Linked DNA regions of Bombyx mori. The protein of the gene in region 1 purifies or fractionates together with the protein of each later gene. This does not show direct contact. Links are inferred from orthologs where the notes say so. Each region holds a gene or a part of one and is shown on either strand. Other genes may lie near its edges. The genes, in order: Brf and uncharacterized protein LOC101741862.

Region 1 (3,834 bases):
ATGCATGAGTAATCTGTCTAAATAGAGAGAACGAAACGTCATGTCATGGCTTTAATACGGAAATGATGCGAACAATTGTTGATTTACTATAAGGCCCTTCGTACACAAGGCTACGCAAATCTTCGATACTCAACGATTTTAGTCTCCAAGCGACTACCGCCATACAAATCCATTGAGGTTCGTACACGAGTCGCGTCGCCGACATTCGTCCCGCGACTCGCGTCGTGTCAATCGCGCGCTACCTGCATGTCGTGATCTTCGCTACATAAGTCTCGGCGATTTCCAAGATGGCGGAGCAATTTTTTAATATTAAATTTGTGTCTGATATGGAAAAATATCCTTGTTTATATGTATAATTATAAATTAAAAGAATATTAAAAAAAGGAAATAACAGAAAAAGCTTTTCGTAGCCGTGAGAAAGGCCGTTAATATAACAGATTGGTATTTTTATAGTTTTCAAAATAGTCAGTACATAGTTTTGTAAAGAAAAAACACTTTTAGGCAGTATATTCTTTTTATTAAGCTTTTGTTTTAGGTATTTACACGAATTTTGTGTACATTTTATTATGATAGCCGATGTTGTAAGCCAGATTGCCGACGTTGTTGTTGTGATCTAGGATCGTTATCTAGCGTACCAGATATCCGTATCCACTAAACTATAAACAATACAACAAGTAATATCTGATGTTAAATTAATGGTATAATGACTAAATAGGCAACTCGCGTCTTGCGATTCATTGTCGTGTGTACGGACCGTGCGCTACTCGATACTCGCGACTTGATACTAATGTCGTTTACAACATTAGTATCGAAGATTTGCGTAGCCTTGTGTACGAAGAGCCAAAATCATAATTCCGGTCCTGTACAAAACATTTCTGTAGTGAAATTAATTGTAAAAAATAAGAAAACTATTTTGATTCTTATTATTCTGATTATTTTGATTCTGCAACATGCAACTTTGCTAGACGACTTCTGGTCATTCTCCTTTGGTGCATAACCGGCCTATCCATAGTTTCACCCATAGATAACAGATGGCTTTGTAAACATTATTTTTGCGCGTATTGTTTTTTTTGCCTACTCAAATTCATGAAAACTTAAACCTCATTACTCCACAAGAACTATGGTAAGCTTAGGCCACTTCTACGCTGACGGCCTCAAATATAAAACCAGTTGACAAACAGTAGGAGAGAACGGTACTTTACAGTTAAAAGCCTTTGCTTCTATGGTATTTGATCAGTGACGCGCTACCAAGCTCTGTGGAAACGTTTTGCCGCTAATTATATTTTCTGAGCGTACCTGCGGAAATTTGTTTACAATACAAATAATCCATCAAGGCGGGACAGGCGGAAAGACGTAAACAAACACACTCACACACTCAAACACAAGGAAATTAAAACATATTGAATAGCGTTGCCACTACGACGATCGGTCTCATGTCTTCCGCTGTCTTCATTCGAAGGTCACGTTAAATTTGATATTCGAATTTATTGAATAAACTGTTTATAGCGGTATAGCGTTTTTGAGCGACTGTCTCTTAAAGGACTGCAATGTTTTTAGAGTTCATGTCTTTGCATATACATATTTACTATTATTATACATATGTACATGTACAGTGGTGGTCATATAATTGGAAACACTGATAGATATGTTTTTTACAAACATTTGTACGTTAAAGTTATACTTTCTTTATTCATAAGAAGTGTCTATACAGTTCTATACTAAGTGTTTCTGTTCTATATCTGTATGTAGGTACATTTAACTTTTCAATGAGTATACAGGTTACTGGTGGTAGGACCTCTTGTGAGTCCGCACGGGTAGGTACCACCGCCCCGCCTATTTCTTCCGTGAAGCAGTAATACGTTTCGGTTTGAAGGGTGGGGCAGCCGTTGTAACTATACTGAGACCTTAGAACTTATATCTCAAGGTGTGTGGCGCATTTACGTTGTAAATGTCTATGGGTTCCAGTAACCACTTAACACCAGATAACAAGAAAAAAAAAGAAAAAAAAAAAGGTTTGGATGTATCGTTTATTGACACAATCCATATCCAATCGAAATACAAGCAAGGCAACAGTGTTTTTTTTTGTTTAATATTTAAATTATTAAGAATTTAAAAAGGTAGACATTACGAGCGTGCTTTGAAAAGCACTTATAATAATGTCGTCGTTTCTTATACTATAACAAATTAAGAATTATTTGCATTGTGCATATTTTCCTTCTCATTTGCTCTAATCTGTTTTTGATTACTTATCGAATGGTAAACCGTCGACGTCGCCCAAAGTACGTCATTACGGATCCTCCTGATCCATTAACGGTGCTCTTAGGCACCACAAGCACCGGTCACCGTCCTCGTCGAACGCATCGCTTGCGACGAAGGGCTCGACGAGCGAATTAGCCCATAGACACAGCCCACTGAGTTTCTTGCCGGATCTTCTCAGTGGGTCGCGTTTCCGATCCGGTGGTAGATTCTGCAAAGCACTGCTCTTGCTAGGGTCAGTGTTAGCAACTCTCCGGTTTGAGCTCCGTGAGCTCACCTACAAACGTTAGGGTGAAGCTGAAATAGCCTCTCAAGGCTATCAGCATAGGTAGGAGAGAAAAAAAAGATTACTAATGACGATTCAGTTCTTATGTCACGCGGAGCCCGTAAATGTAGGCTAATACGTATGGGTACCAATAGCGAGATATTTCCTATCCACCGCCAAGCAATCATGCGTTCCGTTTTGGTGGGTAAACCAATAAGCAATAAAAATAAAGAGGCACACACACTCGTTAAGTGTGGTTACAGTAAGGTCTTTCACCTGATCAGTCCAGCGCATGGGGATTCGTCCACGAGATCTCTTACCATTGACGAGAAGAAGAGAGAACATCGAGAAACTTGTTGCTCAGGGTAGGCCCTAGTTTCTTGATAGACATGAATAATAGCGACATCAAATTGTAAATTTCTTTTACAGCATTACTCATAGCAGCTCGACTGCACGAATTCTCACGCACCCCGTCCGATATCGTCCGTATAGTCAAAGTTCACGAGTCAACACTCCGCAAACGCATGTTCGAATTCGGAGACACCCCATCCAGCGCCCTGACCCTCGAAGAGTTCATGACCGTCGACCTAGAGGAGGAACAGGACCCACCGGCGTTCAGGGCGGCGCGGAAACGTGATAAAGAGAGGCTGCAAAAGGTAAACAAGCTAATTTTCGTAGCTGTTCGAGAAGGTTCCATTGGTAGTTAAGAGGTTAATGGAAACCACGAGAATGATGCCATCCACTTTGAAACAGGAAACCGCGCTTTCAATTTGTACAGGGGCTGTTCTACTGTTCAACCAGGAACGCATAACTGCTTTTCTACAGCAATAGATAGGGCGGTGGTGAATGGTTACCAGCTAGACCTAACCTGGTGTGTCATCAAAATATAAACTATTCTTCTTCAGCTAATGGAAGAAGAGGACGGAGAGAAGGAACTGACGGAATTGCAGAAAGAAATAGAAGCTCAAATAGAAAAGGATATGTCAAGAAGACGAAAAGTCTGTTCCGCTTCGTATACTAGTTCACCGGGACCCGTCTCCCAGGGTATGTGAAAACTAATATTTCTGAACAAAGAAATATCCCTATTGGCTAGAAATTAAATCCACATTATTAAATTTCCAAATGACATCAGCAACTGACCTGATACTTCCATGCTAAGTTTAAAGGTTTTATTGCTCCGCCTTATTATTGGTTTAAGGTTTCTATAATTAGTAGGTACATGTTATTCATGTAGATAAAAACGGCATTGCTTGTTTCTATTCCTTGCATTGGCGCGTTGAGTTGAATCTTAACGTATAATGCTAATAACTATC
Region 2 (3,834 bases), on another chromosome or scaffold:
TATGAAAAATAAAAAAGTCCATTTCAGTAATGTGTATGAATGAAATAATGTTATTTTATTTATCCCGTTCCATGATGAAAACTCGACTTCGATTGTCATACGACATAGTTACTTAAATAAGATTTGACATGACACTGGGGAGAGGTTATGACCCCTGGGCCGTGCTTTCGTTGATGTAGCGTGCCATATACGCGACATTGCTATAGTCCCCGGCACGTAAATTGGCAAGAGTCGCTAGATGCGCAGAAGTCGTTTTTTAGGTCTCTTTGGTTGTCAAGCGGGACGCGGGGAAAGACGTAGCACCGTTCCGAGCGCGCGATTGGTGCGTCAGTCGACCCTCCCCTCCCGCACCGCGTCCACTGTTCCGTTCGCTCCCGATTACACATGCGCTTACTAAAGTTGTAGGAACCCTTTGTTTATATTGAGTTTTTAGTTACGAGTTGTTATTATTGTTTTAAATTTAGTTTTTGTTACGAGTGTTATTGTTTTAAGTTTGTTTGCAATGCCAGGACCAAATACCAATTACCATATAGTTGATTCAGTCACTGAGCGTTTTATTATTTACGCCAGTGACGACAGCGACTCTTCGTTATGTCGACGATGAGGAGCCAACTCCTTCCACCAGCTCAGGTGCTACCATAAATTTAATCCAAGGGGTAGCACTATTAGAAAATGATAGTAACGACGGCGACACTTCATTTTTAATAATAAGTATGTTTTTTTAAGCAAACTTCTTCTTAACTTTTAATTATATTTTATTTATAACATCTAATACACTTCACGAATTCCTCTCTTTTCTTTAAATTTCTTCTAAACACACAGGCTTAAAAATAAATAAAGCAAATAAAAAATTTAATAAATTAAATTAAATAATATGCGGGCAATAAAAGTGACCATTTTTTTGTTGCAATGTGCACTATGCGCGACATTACCCCCACTACACCAAAACCTTGCCAACTTACGTGCCGCTTAATAAAACGATTAAATTGCAATGAATATAAAATTATACTAAACAAAAAAATTAAAAATGATTTTTTGCCCTTGTAGGCAGACTAGTCTACCCAGATGGTAAGTTGTCACCGAAGCATAGGGACGTCAACAATATCAGATGCAGTACCAAGCCGTTGCCTACTACGTTTAAATATTTAGTAAATGTCCATGTTTAAAGTAAAGTAAAAGCTGCATTAACAACTACAGACGACGCAACGAATCATTTGGAATGCTATTTAAGTTTGTTCGGCTTAACTTCATAAGAATCTTATCAGGATATAACTGTACCGATGCTTTGTTACTTTATGACATAGGTATAGAAATTTTGCTATTGCTAAATGCTATATTAATTTAAAGAAACGAAATGAAGAGACTCCTGTGTGCTTAGTGGGATTTTTTTAACTTCTCAATCGCGTAAAAGTTAGTTCAAATTTATATGGAGTTGGAATAGCGCCCCTAGCGACAAACATAGTTGAGTAGTAAACCTATTTACTGCTGTCATAAATGTGCTTTGTTGCAGGAAAATTTATTTATTGCTATCATAAAATATGCCTGGTTGCAGGAAAATTTGTTTATTTCTGTCGTCAAATGTGTCTTGTTGAACGAACATTAAATGTATAACATAACACAAATTTTATTTTCTGCTGTCCTAAATCTATAAACAGACAAATAATAGAACGTTTTCTGAGGTCTTGGAGAAAATGGTGCAATGCCATATGGTTCATAGCGTGGGTGAACTGCTATAGAAAACTGCGTTAACCGCACTAATTGTTTGAAGTGCCACTACGATTTCAATGGATATCTTTAAGAAAACATCATGCTCATGACATCGTAACGTCATACCGGCCATCTTGAGACTTGGATCAACGTTAAAATTGCATTTCAAAAATAGCTACCCATAAACTGAAACATTATTGCTTTGTGACAAAAATAAGCAAGCAGTTTTAATACGATTTTTTATTTTATTTCATAGATCTGGGAAAATAGTTTGTACTGGGACAAGAAATGAACATGATTCATATGTAGCTGCAAGAAAAATTGCAAGGATTATACAAAAACTCGGATTCCCAGTAAGTTTTACGTACAATAACCCAACCCAACTAAACCCAATAGAAATCATTACTTGCTTGCTACACATTACAACTTAAATAAAATGTAATCAAATTTTAAAGATGATTAAAATTTTTGTTGACACGTTAGCGTGTGGTCAATCTAAAATGATTCATCTATATCACATAGTAAGTTACTGCCCTTATATTATGTTACAGGCAAAATTTTTGAATTTCAAAATACAAAATTTTATTGCTACTGCTGACCTTAGATTTCCAATAAAATTAGAAGCTTTACAGCAGGCACATGGTCAATTCTCCAGTTATGAACCAGAATTATTCCCAGGACTTGTTTACAGAATGGTGAGACCGAGAGTTGTCTTGCTTATTTTTGTTAACGGAAAAATGGTAATTACAGGTAATCATATGTTTAATATACTTATGCACAATGTTTAATATTTTACGCTACGAATAAATAATAAGTCAGGAAATGTAACTGCGCTCTAAAAACGACCCAACAAAAGCAAGCAGGCGGGGCTTAAAGGTCGTGTCCACCGTGACCATTCTTATTTCGATTTATTATTGTGTTGTCAATATTCATGCCAGCGTGTGCTGTGAAGTTGTGCAGGAGCCATACAAGGCTAAAATGTCCAGGGATCACTTTTAACTAGTAAGTAGTAACAAAATTATAATTATATTTAATGATTTGCAAATATGTTATCAAACCGAGATGGTTAACACTATGCAACATGAAGTCAGTAAATTTTTGATTGTATTTGTTTTCTTCTTGGTGAAATATTAAAAAGTACATCGATAAAATATTTTTTATTATAAAATAGGTATATTTATTTTGATAATTTTATAACGATAATGGACTTTGCATAATTTTTTTTCTTTTAGTTTTCCTACCGGCAAAATGCAATTCGGCAAAAAAGTGAATAGCTGCAGTTAAGTTGGAAGGACAAGAATATGACTGGATGCCTGTGAAAACCAGCAGAGTATGCTCTATTCATGCTATCAAAGACGCTGGACGCTAGCCTTCAATTGCCAGAAACAGTGGAGCAAATTTTAGGCTATATAGCCGGCTTTGTAAGCCGAAAACTGCAAGCGAAAATCAACTGTCCAGAATGCTTATCATTGCTACCTGCTAATCAAAATTTGTATTTTCACAATCTGATTAATTTGAAAGATTTCGGTGGACTCTCGTACCCATCTGTGGTGTTGTATAAAATATGCACACGCACAGAAACACTAATAAGACAGATAATGAAATACATGACAAAGGAAAATCTGTCAGTAATATCTACACAGTGTTTTTCTAAAATAATTGACAATGAAGATATTCTACGCTTACTAAAAAACAGTCACCAGACAAATAATGACCATTTCTTTTTTTTTTATAAATTGTGTAATGGTTGAATTTCTCAGAACCCGTTTTTTTTATTGCCTTTCTAGGCAGACGAGCATACGGCCCACCTGATGGTGAGTGGTTACCGTCGCTCATGGACGTCAGCAATGCCAGGAGCAGAACCAAGCCGCTGCCGTCTTCCCTACATTGCGAAAAAATATTCTTTTTTAATGTTTTCTAGGCAAAAACTTACTAAATTAATTATATTTCGAGGGACATAGAGCTTATTACAAAAAAATATATACATTATACAATTATATTGTTTTATTATTAACTTTGTCCGGTCCACTTATTACATAATATCGTCTACGCTGCTATGACTGCTGTCATAGCTGACATTGCAGCAAGCACATGAACCAATCCCTGCTTTCGTTTTGAATTCAAACC

Evidence for each region.
Region 2: the proteins of Brf (region 1) and uncharacterized protein LOC101741862 purify together in Drosophila melanogaster (affinity purification with mass spectrometry; 3 studies listed by BioGRID, with this or other methods). This does not show direct contact. The link is inferred for Bombyx mori from reciprocal best matches to the Drosophila melanogaster genes Brf and Trf.

What each region holds. Positions count from the first base shown.
Region 1 is NC_085131.1:9,033,948-9,037,781, forward strand, and holds part of Brf (TFIIB-related factor), read left to right. Parts: intron 1-2,950; coding exon 2,951-3,177; intron 3,178-3,426; coding exon 3,427-3,565; intron 3,566-3,834.
Region 2 is NC_085118.1:10,666,042-10,669,875, forward strand, and holds part of uncharacterized protein LOC101741862, read left to right. Parts: intron 1-1,963; coding exon 1,964-2,060; intron 2,061-2,258; coding exon 2,259-2,457; intron 2,458-2,509; exon of another isoform or gene 2,510-2,709; intron 2,710-2,939; exon of another isoform or gene 2,940-3,704; intron 3,705-3,834. UniProt on the Drosophila melanogaster protein: Acts as a transcription factor. Binds to the TATA box promoter element which lies close to the position of transcription initiation. May be essential for embryonic development.